Rattus norvegicus: one gene and its partners. The protein of the gene in region 7 interacts with the protein of the main gene of each other region in a pairwise test. Links are inferred from orthologs where the notes say so. Each region holds a gene or a part of one and is shown on either strand. Other genes may lie near its edges. The genes, in order: Ewsr1, Tex11, Rad23b, Phaf1, Dnm2, Arhgap19 and Atxn3.

Evidence for each region.
Region 1: the proteins of Atxn3 (region 7) and Ewsr1 interact in binary tests that used the Homo sapiens proteins (3 or more experiments, as listed by UniProt). The link is inferred for Rattus norvegicus from reciprocal best matches to the Homo sapiens genes ATXN3 and EWSR1.
Region 2: the proteins of Atxn3 (region 7) and Tex11 interact in binary tests that used the Homo sapiens proteins (3 or more experiments, as listed by UniProt). The link is inferred for Rattus norvegicus from reciprocal best matches to the Homo sapiens genes ATXN3 and TEX11.
Region 3: the proteins of Atxn3 (region 7) and Rad23b interact in a two-hybrid assay, tested with the Homo sapiens proteins (2 studies listed by BioGRID and IntAct). The link is inferred for Rattus norvegicus from reciprocal best matches to the Homo sapiens genes ATXN3 and RAD23B.
Region 4: the proteins of Atxn3 (region 7) and Phaf1 interact in binary tests that used the Homo sapiens proteins (3 or more experiments, as listed by UniProt). The link is inferred for Rattus norvegicus from reciprocal best matches to the Homo sapiens genes ATXN3 and PHAF1.
Region 5: the proteins of Atxn3 (region 7) and Dnm2 interact in binary tests that used the Homo sapiens proteins (3 or more experiments, as listed by UniProt). The link is inferred for Rattus norvegicus from reciprocal best matches to the Homo sapiens genes ATXN3 and DNM2.
Region 6: the proteins of Atxn3 (region 7) and Arhgap19 interact in binary tests that used the Homo sapiens proteins (3 or more experiments, as listed by UniProt). The link is inferred for Rattus norvegicus from reciprocal best matches to the Homo sapiens genes ATXN3 and ARHGAP19.

Annotation. Positions count from the first base shown.
Region 1 is NC_086032.1:84,181,607-84,184,095, forward strand, and holds part of Ewsr1 (RNA-binding protein EWS), read right to left. Parts: intron 1,037-2,489; coding exon 907-1,036; intron 1-906. UniProt on the Homo sapiens protein: Binds to ssRNA containing the consensus sequence 5'-AGGUAA-3'. Might normally function as a transcriptional repressor. EWS-fusion-proteins (EFPS) may play a role in the tumorigenic process.
Region 2 is NC_086039.1:70,226,545-70,230,044, forward strand, and holds part of Tex11 (testis-expressed protein 11), read right to left. Parts: intron 1,308-3,500; coding exon 1,186-1,307; intron 1-1,185. UniProt on the Homo sapiens protein: Regulator of crossing-over during meiosis. Involved in initiation and/or maintenance of chromosome synapsis and formation of crossovers.
Region 3 is NC_086023.1:74,920,018-74,923,517, forward strand, and holds part of Rad23b (UV excision repair protein RAD23 homolog B), read left to right. Parts: intron 1-2,270; coding exon 2,271-2,384; 3' UTR 2,385-3,500. UniProt on the Homo sapiens protein: Multiubiquitin chain receptor involved in modulation of proteasomal degradation. Binds to polyubiquitin chains.
Region 4 is NC_086037.1:50,010,233-50,014,237, forward strand, and holds the start of Phaf1 (phagosome assembly factor 1), read left to right. Parts: upstream 1-1,205; 5' UTR 1,206-1,401; coding exon 1,402-1,465; intron 1,466-4,005. UniProt on the Homo sapiens protein: Plays a regulatory role in autophagic activity. In complex with BCAS3, associates with the autophagosome formation site during both non-selective and selective autophagy.
Region 5 is NC_086026.1:28,253,103-28,257,388, reverse strand, and holds the start of Dnm2 (dynamin-2), read right to left. Parts: upstream 2,801-4,286; 5' UTR 2,693-2,800; coding exon 2,532-2,692; intron 1-2,531. UniProt on the Homo sapiens protein: Catalyzes the hydrolysis of GTP and utilizes this energy to mediate vesicle scission at plasma membrane during endocytosis and filament remodeling at many actin structures during organization of the actin cytoskeleton.
Region 6 is NC_086019.1:250,535,682-250,539,181, forward strand, and holds part of Arhgap19 (rho GTPase-activating protein 19), read right to left. Parts: intron 1,827-3,500; coding exon 1,716-1,826; intron 989-1,715; coding exon of another isoform or gene 975-988; coding exon 896-974; intron 1-895. UniProt on the Homo sapiens protein: GTPase activator for the Rho-type GTPases by converting them to an inactive GDP-bound state.
Region 7 is NC_086024.1:126,869,982-126,874,264, reverse strand, and holds the start of Atxn3 (ataxin-3), read left to right. Parts: upstream 1-1,483; 5' UTR 1,484-1,588; coding exon 1,589-1,612; exon of another isoform or gene 1,613-1,728; intron 1,729-1,762; exon of another isoform or gene 1,763-2,234; intron 2,235-2,261; exon of another isoform or gene 2,262-3,065; intron 3,066-4,283. UniProt on the Homo sapiens protein: Deubiquitinating enzyme involved in protein homeostasis maintenance, transcription, cytoskeleton regulation, myogenesis and degradation of misfolded chaperone substrates.

The DNA of each region.
Region 1 (2,489 bases), on a different chromosome or scaffold from region 7:
CATCTGGGAAGCAAAGGTAGACTGGAGGATCAAGAAGCTCAAAGAAGGGGTTGGGGATTTAGCTCAGTGGTAGAGCGCTTGCCTAGGAAGCGCAAGGCCCTGGGTTCGGTCCCCAGCTCCGGAAAAAAAAGAACCAAAAAAAAAAAAAAAAAAGAAGCTCAAAGAAGGTTATCACTAGCTACATATGGAGTTTGAAAACAGCTTGGACTACATGAGATTCTGTCTTAAAACAAGCAGAAAGAAAATGAAACAAAGAAACAAATGAAAACAAAACACCCACCAACTTCACTGCTGAGGTCAGAACAAAAGATGTTAAATTACATTCTAGAATTCTTCAGGACTGTCAGGTTCAAAATCAGCCTACCCACATAATGAAACCTTTACTCAACAAACATCAAAGGCCTTGGGATAAACTCAGTGGTAGAGGCTCTGCACAGCACACAACTGACATAGCCCATAACACTCAAGGTACACTGGCTAAGATGTTCACATTCTCTGTGTTTCTCTCATGGTGCTATCCTTGACACGTCTCTTTGGAAGAGTTTTCTGCACTGAACTGTCTGCTCAGAGAAGTACTTGCAGCTGGGACATGGGGGCTATGCACTCAAACACATAATAAAGGATAGTCCTGACCCTGGGCCAGTGCCTGTGTCCTTTAACAGAAGGGCACACAGTAAGCAACCCCTGGAGCAAATCTTACTGCTTCAACTCTCAAGCCCCCCACCCCCTTCATCAGGAAAGGGGAAAAGTACATGCCTCCTGTTTCTAGACTCAAAAAAAAAAAAAAAAAAAAAAAAGGTGTTTTAGCACGATCCCTTCTTTCTTGGAAGGTGGCAATGAAACTGTTCTAAGTTCTTAAGTGTGCCTGAATGAGCAGAATTCAGAGTGATAAAGAGAACATCCTACCATCAAACCATTCCACGGCAGCCTTGGCAGTTGGTGGATCTTCATAGGACACTGTGGCATCACCTTTAGGCTTTCCTGTCTCCTTATCCAGGTAGATATGGATCATGGGTTGTCCAGTTCTCTTGTTCATCTATACATAAAGCAATAATTAAGATGTGACTATAACATAAGCTTAAAGTTTACAATAGTTCCCACATTCCCCCAACTATCAAAAGGCAGAGTGTGGTGGTCCACACCTTTAACCCCAACACTCAAAAAGTACATCTATCCCTAGGCCAATCAAGGCAACACAGTGAAACCCCCAAAAATGGCAGTCTCATTCCACAGAGGGTTTTTTTTTTTTTTTTGCTTCTTTTTTTCAGAGCCGGGGACCGAACCCAGGGCCCTAGCAAGCGCTCTACCACTGAGCTAAATCCCCAACCCCCATTCCACAGAGTTTAATAAAGGTCAAGTCTTCCTCAGGATGTCAAAACTGTGAGTGACTTAGTTCCTCAGCATCCACAACAAATAGATATTTAGATAAACTTTACACCTCACACATGTTCATTAAAGAATCAAAAGCAAGCAGTGTAGGCCCTATTCCTGGTCTTGGTACCTGTGAGTAGTCTTATGAACCCAAAGAAGCACCGAAGTCAAGCCAGGATATGTAACTCTTCTAAAGAAAGTCACTCCATAGATGCACTTTATTGGAAGAGCCCTTATCTAGCATGAACAGGATCAGAGTTTGATCCCCAACTCTCTAAAAACAGAATAGAAAAACAAACAAAAGACAGAGAACAAAACGTCCCTTCCATACTGAGGCTGTGAATATACTACACAATTCTTGACCTCCTCCAAGAGTTGGAAGGATGGCTTGTTTGTGGTCGGCTTGAACTTAGAAACCACTCTGTCCAACAAGCATGCACATAAACGATGTCCAATCTATACAGGCTTATGTGTGTACCTAATAATACTTGATGCTATAGGGCTCAGAATTAAGTATTTTTTAAAAATGACTCAAATACTCATATCTATAAAAAGAATACTATTGTTAAGCTTGGTGGCAAGCACTTTTATGTTATTGAGCAGCCTTTGAGCACGAAGACTTAAAAACCAAAAAGTTATGTGACTCTGTATGAGCCTTCGGAGACCAAGAGAAGATGTCTGATCCCCTGGAACTTGAGTCACCACTGTAGGCCTCCCTGTATATACTGGGAAATGAACCTGGGTCACCAGAAAGAGTATCAAGTGCTTTTCACTACTGAGGCACCTCTTCAGTACTACTCTATTGAAGCAAGCTGGGCACTGTTGTTCACGACTGTAATGCCACTCAGAGGGTCAAGTAGAAGGATCATCACTGGTTCCAGGACTGATTGGGCCACAGGGAGTAAACTATCATCTCAAAAACCCTAAAATTATACATGTATTAATCAATATCATTAAAAAATTATGACAGGAAAGAATATAGCAAACTAGTTGTATGAATAAGGAAATGTTTTAAGCCAGAGAGGGGATCAGATTCCGCAGAACTGCAGTTGTATTGAGACCTTAACTTGGGTCCTTGAGAAGAGCAGCACGTGCTTTATAACTGTTGAGCCATCTAT
Region 2 (3,500 bases), on a different chromosome or scaffold from region 7:
ATCCCTAGAACAAACGAAACTCAAGAGGGATGATCAAAATTTGAATGCTTCACTCCTTCTTTAAAAGGGGAACAAGAATACCCTTGGCAGGGAAGAGAGAGGCAAAGATTAAAACAGAGACTGAAGGAACTCCCATTCAGAGCCTGCCCCACATGTGGCCCATACATATACAGCCACCCAATTAGACAAGATGGATGAAGCAAAGAAGTGCAGACCGACAGGAGCCGGATGTAGATCTCTCCTGAGAGACACAGCCAGAATACAGCAAATACAGAGGCGAATGCCAGCAGCAAACCACTAAACTGAGAATAGGACCCCCGTTGAAGGAATCAGAGAAAGAACTGGAAGAGCTTGAAGGGGCTCGAGACCCCATATGTACAACAATGCCAAGCAACCAGAGCTTCCAGGGACTAAGCCACTACCTAAAGACTATGCATGGACTGACCCTGGACTCTGACCTCATAGGTAGCAATGAATACCCTAGTAAGAGCACCAGTGGAAGGGGAAGCCCTGGGTCCTGCTAAGACTGAACCCCCAGTGAACTAGACTGGTGGGGGGAGGGCAGCAATGGGGGGAGGATGGGGAGGGAACACCCATAAGGAAGGGGAGGGGGGAGGGGGATGTTTGCCCGGAAACCAAAGAATTATTATTACGTATTAAATAAATTTTAAAAAAAAGAAAAAAAAAGAACCAAACTTAGATTAGGCTCAGCAAGAGGTACCTTCCTTTACCTGCTCAGCCATCTCACTGGTCCTAAAACCCTTCAGGAAAATACAGCAATAGATGCTAGAAAATTGTGCATCCATAAGGACCTGAACTGGGACACTCAAACACCCACATGTTAAATCCAGACATGGTGAGGCACACCTATAATGCGAGCACTGGGAAGGCAGAAACAGAAAGTTCGGTATGGCTTGCAAGCCAGTTAGTCTTGCCCAGTGAGCTCCAAATACAGTGTGAGACTCTGTCTCAAAAAAAAAAAAATAAGGTGGGGGCTAAAGAGATGTTCAATGGTTAAGAGCAAATCTTGCAGGAGACCTGAGTACAGTCCCAGGGGATCTGATGCCTCTGGCCTCTATAGGCACCTGTATTCAAAGCCAAACCCACATGCAGACACATACTTAAAATAATCCTTAAAACAAACATCACCTGAATTATAATGAACAAAATTATATTTTTACCAACCTGAATATTCTGTACTTCAGTCAGAGACTTCCTGTTGAAATTTGATATGTTCATGAAGAATTTGTCAATCATTTCATGTAGTCTCCATGAATTTCCAGTTATGATCATGGTTTTAATAACTTCTGAAATAACAAAGAACAGTAAGTGTGCTATGAACTTATTGCAACTGGTTAAAGTTAGCAAAGCGTTGTCAAATTTGTTCCTAGATCTTTGGCCAAATAAATACAGCATTAAGTAAAAGCTGAAAATAAAATTTCTTTTAGCTAAAGAGAGAATACAATTACCACTGGGATTAACTTGAACTTGGTGATCACTCTACTCATTCTCTAAAAGTAAAGTGTATTGACTCCACAAAGAGTAATGCTATTATAAATAAAACTACTACAAAACAGATGTTAGCGATGCCTTCCAACTTAAAAAAACATAGAAAATTGAGGAGAATGGATATATATCCTGTAAAACTGAAATATTTATTATTACTTGCAAGCATTAGTCAAACATCAATTTATGCTGGATCTGAAGAACTGGCCTTGCTTTGTAAGGAAAAGAAATGACATGTCCAATTAGAGACAACATTGTCCAGTTATTGAATCTGTATAAATGATGTCACTATTTTCTAAACAATCTGAGCACCAGATCCTCCATATAGTCAAATCTTACCAGGCCATGGAATTCATTAGAGCCCAAAAAAAATAAAAACATGATGTAGACTCAAACTGATACCTTTCATATTATCAAAACTGAGCAATTTTTCCAACCTAGTGTAACACAGTTTCCATAAGGTACATCTTTTCCTTTCCTTCTGATTATCATACAGAATAAAAATGGCATTATACTTATTCATAAAATACAATAAAAGCATCTAACAGTGCTGAAAAGGTGTATGTCTGTAGGGGTGTGTGTGCAGTTGGGATTCAGAGCCTCATACATATTATACAACTATACTTCCAACTACAACAAACAGATCTTTAATATGCTACAATTATTTCATGTTAGAAAATAGATTCAAATAAAGACTTCACAAAGCAAACTATGTTCAAATATTTTTTATAGTGCATGGAAGCTTTAGTACCTCCTTGTGCTGGCTAGTTTTATGTCAAATTGAAACACTAATTACCTGCAAAGAGGGAACCTCAGTTGAAAAAAATGCCTCTACAAGATCTGGTATAGGGCATTTTCTTAATTAGCGACTGATGGAGGAGGTCCCACCTCATTGTGGGTGGTGCCATCCCTGGGATGGTGATCCTGGGTCCTATAAAAAAGCAGGCTGAGCAAGCCACAATGAGTAAGCCAGTAAGCGGCACCCCTCCATGGCCTCTGCATCAGCTCCTGCCTCCAGGTTCCTGCCCTGTGTAAGTTCCTGTCCTGACTTCATTTGATGACCAGAGATAAGGAAGTGTAAGCCCAATAAATCCCTTCCTCCCCAACTTTTTTGGTCATGATATATTAACCCTAACTGGACACCACAGGATAAGCAGAAATATAATAGAAAATATAGCACATCTACATTTCACACTATAGGTTATATTTTATAGGTATATTTGAAAAACTAAACCTGTGTCTTTTCTTCCTTCCATAACTTACTTAATGTAAAGATTCATATGAAATAACTTTCATATGAAAATACTAATTTCAAAATAATTCTGATCCCTTCAAAATACATTTTCAATGTAAAGCAGTGGAACAACTTAATTGACACCAGCAGAGGTGATGGCATACTGCACTCCTTTAGTATAAAACACAGTCAGAAAATCTGGGAAGGGAGTAGAGATCACACAGCTGAATAAGGGTTGCACTAGAAAGGAGAAATTTACTATTAAAAGAAGCTCACAGAAGGGTTTCTAAATGCAATCTTCCTAAGATGTGAAGACAGCATGTCACATTAAGATCATATCAAGCAAAATCATACACTGGAAACAAAAACAAAATGGTTAAACAAAGCTATCAGAATAAAGTATAATTTATGGATTGATTTCAGTCTATCTAATTTAACAAGATTCCTGCTAGCTAAAACTCTGGCATCATTCTATTATGGTGACCCTGTTAACTTGCATCAATTAATGCTAATTAGGTAGACAAGATACTACAGACAGTGTGTGTAATAAAAAATAAATATTTTCCCTGTCTTTGAAGAAGGAAATTTCTATTCTGACATGGAAAAGTCTACAAAAAAGCCTATCCATGTGCCCTGCCCAAAGCAACCTCAGTGACCTCCATTGGCTCAACCAGTCAGTCAAAAGCCAAAGCTGCTCAAAGGTCTGCCAGGGTCAGTTCACAATTCTTTTTCATGTCACAAGGGTTACATTCAACTACTT
Region 3 (3,500 bases), on a different chromosome or scaffold from region 7:
CCTAAGAGCTATTCTTTTTGATGCTGTTGGGATTTTTTTCTTCTTAATTTCAAAATGTTCACTATTAGCTGCGTAGAAGTACAGCTTGGTTTTGCACGGTGATCTTATAGTCCCCTAAACTTGCTAAACTCATGTGTGTGTTTATTCCCATGGAGTTCGCTGGTGAGGGAAGTTCCCCTTCAGTGTCAGGGTGTGAGGATTGTCTCATAAACGGTTAAATACTTTTTCTAAGTATCAAAGGATCATCTTCCATTCTTACAAATAATTTATTCTATGTAGAGGAACATTTGCATTCCTGGGATAAAGGCCACTGTCCATTAAATAAAGGTGTTTTGTTCAGTTTCCTAATATTTAGTTGAGGGTTTTATACCTGTATTCATAACAACTATTACTTTGTAGTTTCTCGGTCGTGGATATCTTGTTTTAATACTGGGGAATTGGGGCCTCACAAGAGTAAATGGTGTTTACTTTTTAAATTCTTTTTGGAAGAATTTAAGAATTGGTATTGATTCTTTAAGGAGTTGATAGACTATCAGTTGCCATTTGAACCTTCATTTTTCTTGGGGAACTCCTGTGCTTACGTACTTCATTACACCTTTCCTTTGTCAAAAAGGTAGGAATTGTTCTAAATTTATTCCTTGAATCTTTAGGTTTCTTTGCCTCCTGGTCATCTTAAATGTTTGTCAGTTAATGATCTTTTTGTGGGTTTCGTTTGTTTGTTTTTTGTTTTTATCATTGAAAGATATTTTCTCTCCTGAAGTTCCTGCCCTCCACTCCAGCCACACTCTTTTCAGGTGGTGTTTTGTTTTGTTTTAAATGTTACTGATTTTCTTGTTAATATTAAGTGGTTAGTTTTACTCTTAATTTATTAAGGTTGATCCAATTATTAAAGAAACACACATGTATCCATATATGCACTGAGTATTTGAGACAGTAATATGCTCTTATTAAACATTCTCCTGTTGTCAAGACTAGTTGCCTTATAGTGCTGGTTACTTTCTTTGATTTCCTTGTTGGTGCCCTGTCTGACTGTACCCTGTGACTAATAGTGGTGCAATTGAAGTCCTCGGGTACAGCAGTATTGCTGGTTTTTCTCTTCTGTGGTAGTTCTGTTGGTTTGGTGTATTTTTGGCCTCTCGTTATATCTGTCTATCATTATGTTTTCTTGGCCCCCTCCTTTTAGTTGTAAAAATGTCCTTCATCTCTGGTAACAAATTTGTCTAGTAACTAAAGCTATTCTAGTTGTCTTTTGGTTATTGTGTGACTTTAAGTCTCAGGTTTATGTCTCACCACAGTATGTCATTGAATTGTTCCAACTCTTTCTTGTTACTTCAGCTACCCTAGTTTTAATTTGTACACAACTTAACTCTTAACAAATTCATTTTTGAAGTTTTCTATTTTAATTTATAAATAGCTTCTTGTGCTGAATTGGGGTTGGGTTTTTTAGTTTGTTTTTTGTTTTTGTTTTGTTGTTTCCAGTTTTTAATAGTCTTTCTGTAGTCTGTCAGAGAAAGGCTTTGAGACAGTTGAGGGAGGTATTCATCTAAGAAATAATGATTCTATATAGTAAATAGTTGATTTGAAGGTTTTAAGGGCTTTAGTCGAGTTTTTAAATGAGATTCAGTAACTGATATTGATGATTCAAATATGCTATAAATTTAAGCATAGTTGTCTTTATTTCGCAATACATCATGGTACTGTAATTGATCATCCACTTTTCTACTATAAAGTGTTGATAAGGCAAGGAACTGAAGAGCAGCATTGAAATATACAGGCCATGTTAAGCAATGCAACATTGATTTTGGAATGTAAAGTGAATGATATATTTGATTAAAAAAAAGAAATGAAACATTTGCTTTTACAAGAAGTTGATGAGCAAGTTAAGGTATTTCCACATGCTCTCTCCCTTTCTTAAACCTTCCCTTACTAAAGCCATTTGATATCCATATTTGTTTGTGCTCATTTACTTTTAAATCAGGACAATTAACTACTGGTTTTTAGTGTAGGTACCAGAGCATACTTTTAGCATAGAGTGCCTGTTAATTTAATCTCCTTAACTCAGAACAGCATTAAATAAATATTTTCGATTGTTATAATGTTCTCTCCACCCTAAGAGTGTTGAACAGTGAGTCCAGGTTCCAGTGAGACTGACCTTGTGTGATTTTGTTGAGCGTTTTCCGTGGTGCTGTTTGTCGCAATCCCCAGTATGTAAGCAGACTTATATCCACCATAGTTGATAAGCTGGATTTAATTGCTTCCTTCTTTTCCAGTTAAAGGCATTAGGATTTCCTGAAGGACTTGTGATTCAAGCATACTTTGCTTGTGAGAAGAACGAGAATCTGGCGGCCAACTTTCTTCTACAGCAGAACTTTGATGAAGACTGAAGGGACTCTTTTGTACCTCACACTCACACCAGTGCATTACACTAACCTTGTTCACTGGATTGTCTGGGGTGACTTGGGCTCATATCCACAATATTTGGTATACGGTAGTAGGTTGGTGGGGTGGGGGTGGGGAGCTAGGCTATAGGGCAGGGATACATACAGTGCATGTCTGCTTCAGTCAGCAGATGCTGCAGGTCCACACAGTGTAAAATACTACACAACCAAACACCGCCTTTACAGGGCTTTATTCTTCTACGCAGTAGGTAACTTTTCCTGGGTTTCATTCTTTCTAGTGTACTAGATCCAGAAATTTAGTGTGATGCCCTGCTTTCTCTTTTCTTTGACTTAACATTGGTTTCTGAAAGAATCTTTGCTACCTAGAATCTACAGTCTGTTTTATGGCAACACTGGATAATGGCTTTTTGAAATTGAGGGGGAAACATTGGAGCATCTGTAAACAGAAATGCCAAATTATTGATAGTCATTGTTGCTGCTTCACATGAGTATGAAATTGATGCAGAAGGAAGCCCATTCTTCATGTTCAGTGCTTAGGGTGGGGAGGGCAGAAAGGGGGCTTTTTCTTAAAATGAAAATAATTACTGCTATTTTAAAATTTCTTGATTATTGAATGTGAGCCCCTCTATCTAACATGATTTGAGAAGCTGTACACTTATAGGCAGAGTTATTTTCCTGTTTACATTCTGTGTTGTTTGGGGGATTGGTAGGTGTCTGATTACTGTTTACTTCACTGTTGTGTTGCAGTAAAAGACTTAAAACAACCATTGCATGTTTGCTTTCGGTGTATCCCTTTGTGAAATTAGCACTTTTGGGGCCAATGAAGAAACTTTGCTGCATTTACTCCCTTTCCCTCCCCTTTCCTCAGTAGAAATGTGTTTGATCAGCAAGTTGTGAGTCAAACTGCTGCCTTTAAAAACACCACAAAAGCTGATTCAGTTCAAAATGAACGCACATCTTTCAAAACTGGGTTTCTGATACTTGTGGATGTTTTTCTTTATTAGATAAGAATGTATTGCCATTAAATCCATTAGTATTACATTGCTTTCAAAGAAAAGGTGGGTGGAACTATAATCCAGCATCTTTTACTGCATTCAAAGA
Region 4 (4,005 bases), on a different chromosome or scaffold from region 7:
CCAGCATGACCTTGAACTTCTTTACTGTCTCAGACTCCCAATTGCTGGGATTTCAGACAGGCACAAACCAACACACCCAGCCTCTAAACATAACCAACAACACACGTCAGCATTTCTGTAGCCACTTCCCCACTGAACAGCCCAGTGACCCAGTTGTTTCGGCATGAAGCAATGCTTCCCAAAGACGTCCTATTGTTTTTGTTTTGTTTAATGCCCGTAACACTGAACTTTGGTGACGTCTGCACTGTTAGGCTCCTTTGTAGCTTTTGAGTATTAAGCCTGTCACTTAATTCCCTGCTAAATACTATCCTTAGGAAATATAATTGAAATCGGGGTTAGCTGCTAAGATCAAGGAACCTTGGGCAAAGTCTTTACCCTCACTGTGCCTCATTTATTCCTCTATAAAATGAGACTGAGAGTGTGAGGTCTTGTCATTATAAGAGGCTTCAGCTGCCTTTTAATTTTGGTGTGCCCTAGAGCAAGCAGGCCAAAAATTCAGGCTGAATAGCTTAGAGGAGCCCCTCTTCTACTCATTGGAAACGGAGGCACAGAACTCTTACGGATTTAGTCAAGCATTAGCCCATAAAGCATTAACAAGCAGCAAAGCTGACTCCAGGCAAAGCCTCTGTGCTTAGAAAGTACTCTCTAGAGTGAACATTTCTGGATACGAAACCTGGCCCGGAACCCTTCACCCTTCTAACTCAATCCTCTTACCTTAGCCCTTGCCAGCACACTCACACATCCTAAACTCTGAGGTCGACCCTGCTCAGAGACCACTGGTTCCAAGGAGAGTACATTTCCGCACAATTTAGGCAATAGCAGCCAGCGTCAGTACGTGACAAGCAAGATAATGGCCGCGAGTCCCTAAGACTAGGTCCTTCCTGTCTGTTTTGGTCCTAGTACATAGACGTAGACGGCAGACAACTTTATTTGTGTGTAATGTGTTGTCCGCATTGTGCCTTTTCTTGCGTAGGCATGTGGGTTGCTGTGCAGTTTGTACGACCCCGGGAATGTGGACTCTAAATTCAAGCTTCCTCAAGCTTTTCTCGCGCCAGTCTGGCCTCCGACCCAGAGTTTGCGCGTGCGCGACTCCGCCTCAAGCCCCGCCTCTGTGATTTAGCTCCGCCTTTGCCACGCTTTACGGCCCGGCACGGCGCTTTTGCTGCAGTTGCTCCAGGCGCTGCTGTTGCTACAGCCTCTCCTACCGGGGCTGCTGCCCGGGAGGTGAAGGGAGGTTAAGTGTGTTGTTGTGTTAGTGCTGCCGTCGCCGCCCGGGACGGAGCTGAGAGCCGGACGTCCGCAGGCTGACGAGAGCGGCCAGTCAGCAGCTGCGTGCTCTCCTCAGGCCGGGTCCTGTCTGCGCTGCCGCAGGGAGGCCGCCCGGCCCAGCGAACCGAACCAATGCTGGACCTGGAGGTGGTGCCTGAACGCTCTCTGGGGAACGAGCAATGGGAATTCACACTGGGTGAGTGTGGGGTTCTTTCGGGACCCTATTCGCTGGCCCTTAATTCTCTCTAGCCCCTTCCGCTTCTGGTTCCTGCCCTAGATGCCTCTGCGCTCGCGGTTCTTCGCCTTTTCCTACCCTCTAGTCTTTCGGCTTCAGGCTTTAGAATCCCGCTCCTCCCATCTGTCATAGGATCAGCGATGCCCTCGCCTAGGGCCTCAGCAACCTTTGGGGCTGTAGTACTTGTAATCATAATAATAGCCGGTACACTACAAATATTTAGTGGCGTGGGAAGACCCTGCTCTTTTGAATTTATCTCTAATACCCCTCCCTGAGGTCTGAGGATCGATACTATATATGCCCGTTTTGCCGACTCTAATAGTTAAGAAATAGATAGCATCCCTAATCAACACTCTCTGATCTGTCTTCCTTTGGTTTTAGGGGAATGGAGGAACATGTCTCACAATCAGATGGTTGGGGGAAATGAGCTTGCTTTTGTTAAAGGAACCCTTGACTTGTTTTCTTCTCTTTTGAAATGTAGTCTTAACATGTGGTGTCGTAATACCAGATAGCAGAGTTAAAAGTTGAAATTGAGTGAAGTGGAAATTACACATTGACTTTGTAGACAATTCGGTTTGGTCATTTGGGGGATAATTGGCCCTTGTGTGTGAACATGAGTATTTGCTTTTAGTAACTCCTGTGTGTTTACTTTGTGGCAGCACTAAGCAAAGGGTATGGGGAAAGGTGTTCCTGCTGCTTGTTTGTGTGGGCCTCAACCTCTCTCTGTCTCTCTGCTGGGAGCTCTTGGACTGAGTCATCTGCTCCATTTGTTTATGGTTTATCCTTGAATGTAGAAGACTCAGTTAATAGAGACAGCATATTGGAATAACCTCGATAGGTAGATTGCTAGAAAGAACCTACTGGGGTTTGGTGGCTGCCTGCCTCTTTCTTGCCCATTGTAAAAGCCAGTTTTATCAAGGGGTCTTGGTTCTCAGAACTTAGACTGCCTGTTCCTATAGAGTTCTCAAAATTTAGTCTGCTGTGAAAATTTCCATTCAGCCTCTTGTGGGGCACCAAGAGCTTGGCTGAAAAGCAAATGATGTTTGGCTTCTGATTAGCATTTTTTTCTCCCCTGGACAACTCCTACGTAATCTGGACCTCCCAGGACTGGTTAAGACCCACAGTTTACAGACTACAGATGGTACACTTAGACTGTGTATCTCTTTGTTTGATTGAGTGAAAACAGGAGATCAACTGGGGTCAGGAAATTTCCAGAACACAGAACTATAACATACATAACTAACTACCCAGGGCCTCTTCTGGCAAATTTGCAAGAACCAAGAATTTGAATAGTTTTTTCACACTGTCTTCATAGTGGCCAAAAATAATAGCACACTAGGTTCAGAGTTCAACTTTGGGAGAACACTCATAGGGTAGCTCTGAGCCTTAGTGATTGCTTGTACCATTTTCATTATTCTTTTTAGATTAGGTTTTGTTTGCTTGTTTTTTTTTTTTTTTTAAGACCGTTACTAGCCCAGACTGGTTTCAGACTCCCAGTGCAAGTTAAGTTTGAACTTATAATATTTCTCTCAGTATGTTGGGTTTGTGTGGTACTTGAGATCAAACCCAGTGGCAAGTACGAAAGTGGGCCACTATATCAGTCTAAAGTATACATTTTTAATTTTTAAATTTACTTATTTAGAAGGGAAGTTTAGGAGGGAAGTCTTGGCTGCTCTTTCAGAGGAGCGGGGTTAGATTCCTAGCCTCCACAGGCTTTGCATGCAGGTCATGCACATCCAAACATTCCAGGCAAACAACACCCATACACATTCAGAAACGTGTCAGGGAGGAGCTTGCACAGTTGAGGTCAGAGGACAACGGGCAAGAATTGGTTCTTTCCATCATGTGAATCCTAGTGATCAATCAGACTCATGTCACCAGGTTTACAACAGGCACCCTTGTTCACTGCCACCTTACCAGCCCTTAGAACCTGAAGTTTTAAATGTAAGGCTGGGGTGATGACCCAGTGCCTCTACAGAGACCTAGCTATCCTTGAACTCAGCTATGTAGATCAGGATGGTCGCAGATCTGCCTGCTTCTGGTGTCCACCACCACACCCAGCAAAAAGACTATAATCCTTTATAACTCTGCTAGTAAAGAAAATAGAAGGCTCATTTTAGGAATTACACAATAAGATACTGAACCACAAATTTTAAAAAATAAGGTATTTTTAATTACAATGTTTTAGAAAATGGTTAAGATACAGAGAATGAACAAAGTGAAGTTCACTTAGTTTGGCTGAAGGACCTTTTTGAAAGGCTACAGAGAAGCATAAAGATCCTCTTCAAAGAATGTTCTGTTGCATTCAAGGGTTGTGTGTGCCTTATTAACTTTTTTATTAACATATAAAGAAATGAGTTTCACTAAGACATTTGATACATAATCTATCACTATACTTTGTTCTTCTTTGCCCCCTACCCTTTTCTCTTTCTCCTTCTGGTTGGTCTTCACTTCACCATTGCATTTGAATTCTATCTTTACTTTATAGTAAAAAAAGATAA
Region 5 (4,286 bases), on a different chromosome or scaffold from region 7:
CAGCCAGATGTCCACTGATGGACATTCAAGAACAGCAGAAGGAGGAAACAGCAGTAGGGTCAGAATAGACTCTCAGTTCTGACTGTTTAGTAAAATTCACATCAGGAAATAGAGAATGGGACTGAGTGGGACCCTCTTACCGAGGCCGCATAATGCAGGTACATTATGGCATTCTAGAGTAATCACTATGTCTTAAGCCAGACATAGTGGTGCATACCTGATCCCAGCACTTGAAAAATGAAATCTGAAAACTGCTGCTACAATTCTGGGGGCCAACCTGTGCTATACAGTAAGTTCCAGGTCAGCCTGGACTACAGTATGAGACTGTTTCAAAACAAACAAACAAACCAACAACAACAAAAAAAAAAACCAGGAAGGGTGCTGTACACCTTTAATCCCAGCACTCAGGGGGCAGAAGCAGGTGTGTTCAAGGCCAGCCTGTCTATGTTGTGAGATGCTATTTAAAAAACGAATCAATAGCTGGGCTTGGTGGCACTTGCCTTTAATCTCGTCAACTGAGGTAGAGGCCAGCCTGGTGTACAAAGGGGGTTTCAGGACAGCCAGGGTTCAGTTACACAGAGAAACACTGTCTTAAAAACAAAACAAAACAAACATGGATATGTGCATATGCATATACATAAAATGTTTATTTCAGCACCTAAAGCCACAGTCATAGAAAGATCTCTGAGTATGAAGCAATCAAAGAAAACATAAATATCGATAATATTTGTTATCAATTGGTGCTGGGAACTGACCCCAAGGTCTTATTCATGCTAGGTAAGTTCTCTATGTCTGAGCTTAGCCCACAGCTCTCTCTTGGCCTTTTTTTTTTTTTTTTTTTTTTTTTTTTTGAGACAAGGACTAACAATGGAGGCCAGATTGACCTCAAACTCAAGAAATCTGCCTCAGACTCCCACGTCCCTAAGGTCACAGGTTCAGCCTAAATAAACACTTCCAACAACCCAGTCCCTGCAGCCTTGCATCAACTTTGAAGGTTTTTGAGACAGGGTCTGACTATGTATCCCTGGCTGCCCTAGAACTCTATGTAGAGTGAGCTAGCCTCAAATTTAGGGATGCCCTGCCTCCACAAGACTGGTAACAAAAACACACAACACAGGGTGTGTGTGTGTGTGTGTGTGTCTGTCTGTCTGTCTGTCTGTCTGTCTGTCTCCGTCCCAATGTTAGGGTGAGGCAGAGAGTGGTGGATCACTGGAACTCACTGGCCAACCAGACTAGCTGATCAGTGAGCTTCATGCTCAGTGAGGGACCATGTCTCTAAAATTTAAGATGGGAGGACAAACGCCTAATGACCAGAGTTTGATTCCCCAGGACCCACAGAGAATTGGAAGGACTTTACAAAGATTATGTCCCCTGACTCCACAAGTGCACTCTGGCACACACTTGGACACACACACACACACACACACACAATGATAATGTCCACAGCAAAGCAAATGTTATCACTGGGCACACACTGCAGCATCATACATGGAGCACTTCCTGGAATGGAGAAGTGCTGCTGTGTGCAAGGCAGAGGGGGAGGGACAGGAGTAAATCAACATCCCTTCTTCACTCACTTCCTGGATCCTACAAACAGCTGCGAGTGGAATTTGCCCACTGGACAGATGGAAGAAGCTGAGGCTCCCAGAGCTGTCTGGAGAGCATTCCAACTGGGAGGCTTTAGCTTAGAAGTCATCTGACGGGTTTGGGGATCCTGGGCCAGGAAAGAACCCTACAGAATGTTTCTTCCCAAGTTCCCTGAGTTCTGTCACTCAGAGAGGATGGACAGGCAGGGGTGCCTGGGCGGTAATGGAGAACAGACTAATGGATGGATTCACTTGGAAGACAAGAGTCAGTCGGCCCAAGAGAACCAGATAACAAGAGGCTACCAAAGTTCAGCAGGTCAGATGGCAGAGGCCCACTCAAGTAAATAAGGGGCACAGATGGGCATTCGCACACGAGAGGTCACCTCAGATGGCTAGCCAGACAACGGTGGACCTCAGAGTGGGTCTGGACAGATGGGACAACCAAATGGTGCCCGTAGGAAGCCTGTTCAGAACGGATAACCAGCTAACCAGACAAGAGAGAAGGCTCCAGATAAATAACTGGCCAGACAGACCCCAGGGGTCATCCCCCATGGATGGCTGGGTGGCAAGTGTTATCTTCAACAGCACACACACTAAGACTTCCAGGCAGCAGGAGAAAAGAGGAGTGGATCACCACAGATCACAGGCAAAGCGATGTCAGAGTTACCCAGCGATAGCCGGAACTAGATGCACCAAGAGAGGTTTGCATTGACCGTCTTGCCCCAAACACCACCCACGATCATCGACTAGTACCAGACCTGGATCTCCATCTCCAGTCTCTGAGAAAAGTCATGGAGACTCTTGCCCCAGACCTTACCCAATGCCACCGGTCCTGAGGCGTCCGCGAGCCGCAGTTCCGCCATTCCCCGCCCGCCCTCCGCGCCCTAGGCCGCCGCCCGCCCTCCCAGCCGGAGCCCCAGAACCGCCGCCGGCGCGCTCGCTCACCGGCCCACGAAGTTCTCGAGCACCGAACTCTTGCCGGCGCTCTGGCCGCCCACCACGGCGATCTGCGGCAGGTCCAGGTGGCAGCTCTGACCGATGGAGCTGAAGGCGTCCTGCAGCTTGTTAACCAGCGGGATGAGCTCTTCCATCCCGCGGTTGCCCATGGTGCCCGCCTCCGCCCCGCGGATCCCCCGACTACGACTCGCGGTCCCGATGCGTCTGTGGCCGTTGCTTCCTCCTGCTCTGCTCTGCCAGCCCGCCCGGGCTCCCCTTCGCCGCGACGCCCGCTCCCGGCTCGGCCTCACAGTCACCGCCTCATCCGGTTCTCAGGCGACACCCGACCCGAGCAACCTCCCCTCCCGGCCTCCGGGGTGGAGCCCGCAGCCCTAATGCTATATCTAATTGGTCAATAGCACTGCCACTCAAGAACGTGAGCCAATAAAAAAGGCACGAGGAAGGGTTAATTTCACAAGTTCACTGGGTAATAAAACCGTCACTCTTAAATGAAAGCCAATAGAAATCGAGCCGGGTTGTCAGACCGGGAAGGCGGGGTCTCTGGGAAAGACATTGAGGCCTCAGCTCACGGATGCGCGTTGGCTTATTGGTCACACAAAACGTCAACCTGCCAATAGTGTAAGGAATCAATCCTTCTACACTGGATTGTCACTTGACACTAGTTAATTCCGTAAAAATTTCTCATTGGTTGATATAAATATCACTTCTCTACTCCAACCAATAAGAGAAAAGAAGAGCCGTAATCTTTTTATACAGTTTCTATACAGTTTCTGTATGCTGGCTACAAACTCTCGATGTTCCCCCTGTGTCCACCACCCGGTCTTGCTAGGATACACGTTACTAGCGTCCCAATCCTGACTGACAACCGCGTCATAAAAATTCTTTCAGCTTTCCTGGCATTTTTTAACACTTTGTGATATTCTTTTAAAGCAAAGGGCCACAGTACTCAGGGAGGCGAACATCGTGGATAAGGTTCAGTGATTGTCACACCTGAATTCTGAGGCTGTAGTGAAAACTTGTATTTTAGAAAGCCTCACAACTCCTAGCTCTGAAAGAATCCCAATGCCAGTGAAGATAAGTGGACACTTCTGCCTCACAGAAAAGTACTCTCGTCTTCTCATGCCTGTATCTGTATATTACTAAGGATTGAGTCTACGGTTTCATGAAGCTAAGCAAATGTTTTACCAGTGGCTACAACTCTAGGGTTATTTTTACTTTATTTTATTTTTTGCTCCAAGAGCGATGGCTCAGTGGTTAAGAGTACTCGCTGCCTTTGGAGCAGACTCAAGTTTGGTTCCCAGCACCCACATGACAGCTCACAACCATCAGTGAGTCCAGTTCCAGGAATCTGACACCCTCTTCTGGCCTCCATTAGTATCAGACACAGACATGACACACATACCTACATGCAAGCAAACACACCGATGTACAGTTTTTTAAAAATTCACATAACATTTAATTTTTTAGAATTATCTATTTATGTATAGGAGTACACTGTAGCTGTCTTCAGACACACCAAGAGAGGGTGCCAAATCCCATAACAGATGGCTGTGAGCCACCATGTGGTTCCTGGGAATTGAACTCAGGACCTCTGGAAGAGCAATCTGTGCTCTTAACCACTGAGCCATCTCTCCAGCCCAACATTTCATTTAAAGGATTTACTTTTTTATGTGCACCAGATACGTGCCTGGTACCCATAGAAGTCAGGAAGCATCAGATCCCCTAGATCGGGAATTCTGGATG
Region 6 (3,500 bases), on a different chromosome or scaffold from region 7:
AATATTTGGATAGGAATAACTCAAATATTGAGCTTGCTTCAGTAGCACAATTCTGTGCAAAAGAGAGCAGGAGAAGGGAGCTCGGTCATTCATCACAGTAAGAAGTAAGAAATCACACGACAGCCTAATTTTCTAGAAGACAATAAAGATTCATCACAATGACTCTGTTGTCCCAGGGTGGGGACAAGTGTGCACTACCACTGAATGACATGTCTACATGAGCTCTTTCCACTGCTGACATATGGAGTAGCAACTGAACTCCAGAATCCCTCCTGAGTCCTGCCTGAGTGCTGGATTTCAGCTGTGCAGTCCCATGCCTGCTCACAGCAGCTTTAACAGAAAAGCTAAGAACAACCGTGCTAACTCCTCTCTGAACTAAACATGCTGACACGACTTCTAAGGTCTCTCCACGACTACGAAAGCTGGCAGAGAAAAGAAACATGACTTTCATGAGTGTCCTCTTCGCATGGACGTTCTCAGCCTCACGAAGCCATTTGTCCTTGTGTCTTCTTGTTTAACAAGTGTTCTTAAAGGCTGGAGAAATGGCTCAGAGGCTAAGAGCATTGGCTGTTCTTTCGGAAGTCCTGAGTTCAATTCCCAGCAACCAGAGTGCTATATACATAATAAATAAATCAGTAAAAAACAAAACCAAAACAAAACAAATATAAGACAGCTGATGCATGTGTGGGTCCTGTCTGCCCACAGCAGGTGTCAGTGAGTCAGTTTGGAACTCTGCCCTCAGTACTGAAGGCAGTGCTAAGTAGACTAAGCATCCATTTCTATGACTACAAGTATACCACACCACCTTGGACATCGAAAAAGGGAAATACGCTGACTGAGAAGACACAGGACAGAAGCCCGGGTGGTAAAGACAGACGGCAGCTCTGGTGAGTACCTTTTTTCCCCTCTCTCTTCGCCTCAGACCATTTCAATCTCATTGGTGTCACTGTGACAGCTGGAGAGCCAGAGAAGAACTGCAACGAGAAAACTGTACAGTGGCTTAGATGATCAGACGCCAGTCTCCATTACAGATGAAGGTTATGCCCACGCTTAACTGGCTATGGGCAGCTTAGTGCAGTAGCCTCGCATACCTTGAAGGACTGCCCACAGATACTGCGGAGCCATGCTCTATGACATTTCTGGGGAGAATTAACCAACCCTTCAGCACTTGTTGACAGAGCTATCGTGCTGTGTAACTAGCTTTGCTGGTTAGAGTCATCTGGGGAGAGGGACCCTCAATTGAAATAATGTCTCCAGCAGCCCGGCCTGTAGGCAAGCATGTAGGGCATTTTCCTGATTAATGATTGATGTAGGAGGGCACAGACACTGTAAGGGGCCTCCCTGGGCACACAGTCTTAGGTTCTACAAAAAGAAGCCAAGCTTAGAGAGCCGTGGGGAGCAAGCCGTAAGCAGTGTTCTTCATGGCCTCAGCTCCAGTTCCTGTGTTGAGTTCCTACACTGACTGACTTCCCTCCATAATGAACTGTAAGCTGTAAGTCAAATAAACCCTTTCCTTCCTGAGTTGTAGCCAGTGTGCAACAGAAGCAAACTAATCTACATGCCTTATCTTTCCTGAACTCAAAGCATGCTGAATGGTCTGGTGTAAATGTACAGAAAGGGCGGTGAGCACTGCTGACCGACCGAGAGTCACAGCAGAACAAGTGCCAGTCTGTCAGCTCCTTCCCAGGGAGAGACAGGCAAGTGTGTGCTCTTACCAGGTTCATATTCTCTTTGCTGGCTTTCTTCAGTTCCTCCATGGCCACAGACTCTGGAGCAGGGGAACTGTTTTTCTTTTCTGAAGTCATCTGACTGCCCAGGACTTTGCGCTGATTTAGAAACAGAAAATATTTTATTTATGAGCATTTATTATTTTGTAGTTATCTGGCTTTCAAAACTACAACCTCCTCAGTTTAAAAAAAAGCTTATCAGCAGCCTGATAATTTCTGTACAGACTGGGGCCATGTCATATAAAGGAGGGAAGGATAGAGCAAAAGCCAAGAATGACTGTTTCTCTGGGTGACTTAAACTGCCTAATATTAGCTAATAACAGCACATCTGGATCCCAGTCACTCTCGAGGGTTGGGCTTTTTTGGAAAAATGGGTGTTGGGGGGGGGTCCCCTTCTCCTCTCCACTAAGGGAGCCACAGACTAGGTCTCCTCTAAGATTCTGTTTCTCTGTCCTTCCTCACACAAGACAAGTAAATGTGCAAAAACTGTCTGAGTTCCTAATGCAGGCACAAAAGGCCCCTCAGGATGGTCACGTGACCACTGACACACAGAACAGGAGTACGAGGCCTTCTGAATAGCCAGAAAACAACGTGAGCTGCTGAGGCAGAGAAAGTAACAACTCCATCTTAGAGAAACCCTGCAGCAAAAACATCGTCAAAAATCACACACACACACACACACACACACACACACATACACACCTAAACTAAACTGAAAACCTAAAGCATTAACCTCTGATTATAACTAACAACAGCAGGGCCAGGTATTTACATGACACCATCTAGAGCGAGACCGTCTTCAGACCCACTGTCAGACACCTCTGAAAAACTGGAGGAAGCAAATCTCTAAAAGTTTCTATTGTTTAATTTTTTTTTTAAATTTACTGTGTGTGTGTGTGTGTGTGTGTGTGTGTGTGTGTGTGTGTGTGTGTCTGTGTGTGTGTGTGTCTGTACAGGTGCCTACAGAGGTGGCAGCATCAGACCCCCTGGAGCTGAAGTTATAGGCCATTGTAAGATGCCCAATATGGGTGCTAGGAAATGAACTCTGGTCCTCTCTATAAGACCAGCTGAGCCATGTCTCTACCTCCCAAAAGTTTTAATTTTTAAAAGACATAAAAATCAAATAGATTTTTTTTAAAAGCCAAATAAGCTAAAACACACACACACACACACACACACACACACACACACACACACACCCCAACATGAGAAAAATAAGGCCTGTATATCCTCTCTTCAGAAGGCAGGAATCACTCGAGAATGCTGAACTGGGAATGCCAGGGTTCAGGAGATTAGCTCTAAAGCTTCCAGCAAATTTTCAAAAGGGCATCTTCAGTTGGACCTGGCATGTACAAAGTCCTAGGTTCAAGCCCCAGGACCACTAACCAATAAAAACAGTACTGAAATTCTTCACTGCAGAGCTCCTGAGCAAACGGCCAGTTCAAGCGTCTCCTTGTTTACAATGCAGCTACCTTACCCTTCTGCTTCATAGTTTGCTCTTGTAGCGTCTGTATTTAAAGCTGTTGTTCTGGGATGAATGCAGCTCAATGGTAGACTGCTTGCTCACATATGAGCCCTGGGTTCAGATGATAGTGACATAAAAAAAGTATGTTCTAAAATGTTTTATTGGGGCTGAGAGATGGCTCAGTGGTTAATGGTAGTGGCAGCTCTTCCAGAGGTCCTGAGTTCAATTCCTAACAACCACATGGTGGCTCACAACCATCTGTAATGGGATCTGATGCTCTCTTCTGGTGTGTCTGAATACAGCAATAG
Region 7 (4,283 bases):
TATAAGTGCTTGCCTGCCTGCATGTATGTGTGTCACCGTACCTACTAGGTATGTTGCAGAAGCATCAGATCCCCTGAATCTGGAGATACCAAATTCTGTGAGCCTCTATGTGGGTTCTGAGAATCAAACCCAGGTCCTCTACAAGAGAAGTGGCAAATGCTCTTAACCTCATAGCCAGTTACCTTCTAAATTGCAATGAATCTCACCTCACAGCTCAAAACAGCTTCTGTAAACTCCAGGCCAGACATCTATTACTCACAAAAGTACCTTATGTTGCACAGACATTTAAACTCATTATTCCCCAAATTAAACCCTTGTCTTCCCTTCCCAAGACCCTGCTCATTCTGCACAGTATTTCTGGTTGGAGTATTACTCCTTCTTTAGGTGGTACCTACAGCAGACACCCACAAATCTTTCCTAACAATAACCCCTTTCACCCCAGTTCCTCACCAAAGTCTTCTGAGTCTGCTTCCTGAAACTTCAAATTGGTCTCTCTCCATTCTCAAATCACTACTGGAGTTCTGACCACCATTGTCTCCTCATTTCTCCCAAAATGCCTTTCAAGTATTCTGTTCCCCAGTGATCTTCTAAAATTCTAATTTGACCCCATGTCTCTAGTTTTGAAAATCTGTAACCTCCTGTAGGTTTTTTGTTTGTTTTGTTTTGTTTTTGGTTGGGAGGTGGCGGGCAGGATCGTCCTAGAAACCCTGGTTACAGGCTGCCACAGTCCAACACAACATACTCCTCCTACCTTCAGGTGCAAGGATTAGGAGAATGAGTCTTTGTACCCAGTTTCTTTGCTGACTTTGAAGAACCTAAAATGGTTCCACCACACAAGATCCGCGCCCAAATAACACTTAATCTTTGTCAATCCCTCCCCCACCCCCGGCGCGAGCCACTCAACATTTTACTGGACTTTTCACTTCCCCATCGACGCTTCCTCCTTCAGATATTGTACATTTATCCTGGGACCTGATACTCATTCCGACAGGCAACTGTGTTGGACACTGTGCTATTCTAATTTCTTAGTGCCTACATTTCTTCATTTGTATAATAATATTACAACATACACACACATCAAAAATGCCGCATTAAATCGCACTTAGAAGTGGACTATTATAAGTCAGCCCTAACTAAATACTAGCTATAGTTTTCACACAAATACTAGGTATTGGGAGAATGCCTTTTTTGGAATGAGGTTTTCAGTGGGAGAGGAGGTATTACACGTAGTTGAGCAGAAAGTACCAAAAAAGGTGGAAATGGAGAAAAAAAAAAGAACCTAAAACCTGGCTGCGAGGATTCTCATCTAGAACCCTAGAATCACAACATTGTCTAGCGTAGAGAAGTTCCTCCGCACAGCAGGCGGCGCCGCAGCATCACACACGCGGCGGGAGGACCAGCGCCGCCCAGGTCACGTGTCCCGTGCTCCCCGGCTCGCGTGCCGCGTGACGTGCGCCCGCAGTAGTGATTGGGTGGCGGGAGGCACGTGGGTAGGGCGGGGCGGGCCGGGGCGGAGGGGTGGGGCCGGGGGCGGAGCTGCTGGAGGGGGCTGCTCCGCGCCGGGGCCGTTGGCTCCAGACAAATAAACATGGAGTCCATCTTCCACGAGAAAGTGAGTGTGGGCGTTCGGTGGGGAGCCGTCCGCGGCTCGGCGGCGGGCGTGGGGAGCAGCGTCGCCGCTTCAGGAACTCAGGCGGGGCCCGAGCGCCCCCATCCCGACTTGGCTGGGTGAGGGGTGCTTCCTGCCTTCCCCCCATGGCACCGTTCATGAAGCCTCCCGCATGCGTCTCCGGCACCCTCACCCTAAAAGACCGGGCGGGTAACCTGGGCATTTCGGGGGGCTTCATCCGGAGGATTAGCGCGGGCGTTTCTTGTTCACTTGCCACGCCTTTTCGGGTTTCTTCTATCTTCTCTCCTGTGGTCTAGTCTAGCGAGACGCCTTTCCACACCTGACGGACCCTTCCCAACTCCACCCACTCCCCCTGACCTATCCTCTGGCAGAACCAACTTTCTCTCTCAACTCAGTTCTATGATGGAATGTCCCATGCATTTAGATCTTGGTGATCTATCCCACGTCCTTCTGCAGTTGTGACCGTGGCTCTCCCATTGAAGGGCCTGACACTTGGGAAGTAAAGTAGGAAATCCCGGAGGGAAGTCGTCATAAGAGTTTTTATTACGGGATGTTTGGGCTGCTCTCCCATTTTTCCGGACCAGGAGGCCAGCTTTGTTTTTAGGTATTATGGATAGATTAGAATCTTTCTACTGTGTGATTTGGCTAGTCTCTTCCTCACCTTAATTCCTAAGTGACTACGCTTTACAGTATTGTGACATCTCGAGAAACTGGTCTATGCTCGCATACAATTATCAAGTCATTTGGGTGTTCCTCGGACAACTTTGGCATGATTCCGTGTTTCATAATCATTTTAGGTTTGGAGAGGGTTGCTAGTTGAGACTATTATTACAGTTGGAGCAAAGGCCTTTGTTTTTATCATTTGTAAAGGAGCATTCATTCACAACGTTTAAAGTCCATGCACGACAAAAGAAAGACAAAAATGCTGTAAATCTAAGGAAGTTGTTAAATGAAAGTGTTCTTAAGAAGACCTTTCATAGTGTTTTTGGAACTGGAACAAGTTAGTTTGTGACAAGATTTCTTGTAGCCCAAGCTGGCCCCAAACTCTCCATCCTACTGTCTCTGCCTCCTGAGTGCTGGCTGGGATTATGACCATGTGCCCTGACTCTGAGTGCGCCACCCCCTCCCCCACTCTTTTGTAATTTTCCAAAGGCTTTGGGATAAAGTCCATTTTAAACATGTTATACTCTTTGGGATAAAATCCATTTTAAACATGTTATACTTTATACACTGTTTTGTGAGACTCCTGCCATGTATTCTTAAAAGAAAAATGCATGTGCTTGTGTGGAGGTCAAGGATGACTTGATAAAGTCTGTCCTCTCTTTCCAACTTGGTGTGGATTCCAGGTGTCTGAGGCTTTGGCAGCAAGCTCCTTTACTCTCTGGGTCATCTTTAGGGTGAATGAAGGAAGAAATGGAAAGGACATGACTTCTAGGTATGGTGAAGGAGAAAGTTTATTAAAGAGATGTGGGAGAGCATAGCCTGGGGCAGACACATTTGGGAGACCCCAGAGTTGTCATGACCCTGAACCACATGGGGAGAGGGAAAGGAAATACAGCAGCCAGGAGCCAAAGGTGCAGAAGTATACCAAAGAGGTTGGGTTACCAAAATACATGAATTACATAGGCAAGGACCACTAGGGGAAGGGCAGCTAGGCCATGGTCTGGAGAGTTCAGGGTAGAGAGTAGGTATACCAGCTATACCCTGGTATAAGTAGGGACTAAGGGATGCTGGGAGAACCTGGAGTTCAGGTCCGCTTTGATATGTTAAATAGGTACCTCTGCCACCTACCATCCTGGGATTGAAGCTCAGCATAGGGCTCTTAAACAATACACTAAAAAATATGTATTTTTTTGCTGGCAGGGGTGGTAGGCCTTTAACCTCACACTTGGAAGGTAGAGGCAGGGGAATCTCTAGTGAGTTCAAGGCCAGCCTAGTCTACAGAGAGAGTTTTAGAACAGCCAGCTCTATACAGAGAAACTGTCATGGAAAACAAACAAAAAAATTGTATTGGTGTTTACTGTTGTGTATGTCTGTGCACTGTGTGTCTGTTGCCCACTAAAGCCAGAAGATTCCCTGGAACTGGAGTAACAGGCTTGTGAGTAGCTGTGTGGGTGTTAGGAGTTGAACCGAGGTCATCTGGAAAGCCAGCCTGTACTCTTAACTGCTGAGCCACCTCTCCATCTCCCTCAATACCTTCTTTTTTTTTTTTTTTCTTTTTCTTTTTCTTTTTTCTTTTTTTTTTTGGAGCTGGGGACCGAACCAGGGCCATGCACTTGCTAGGCAAGCACTCTACCACTGAGCTAAATCCCCAACCCCCCTCAATACCTTCTTGACAATATTGATTGTTCCTCATTTGAGCAGATTTCAGTGAAGGTAACTACTGAATCAGTATATCCAAAATGCTAGGCTAACAAAGACTTACTCAGGCCAAGGATATGCCTCACCTGAATAGTGCTTGCTGTGTAAGCATGAAAACCAGAGTTCAGATCCCAGTGTGTGTTTGTATCCCCAGTACTTGAGGCAGGGAACCGAGCCAGGTGGGTTTCTGGTTGCTGACCAGCCAGTCTAGCTGAAATCAGTGAGTTCTAGGCTCAGTGAAAGACTATCTCACAAAATAAGGTGGAGCGCAACTGAGGAAGGCATTTGACTT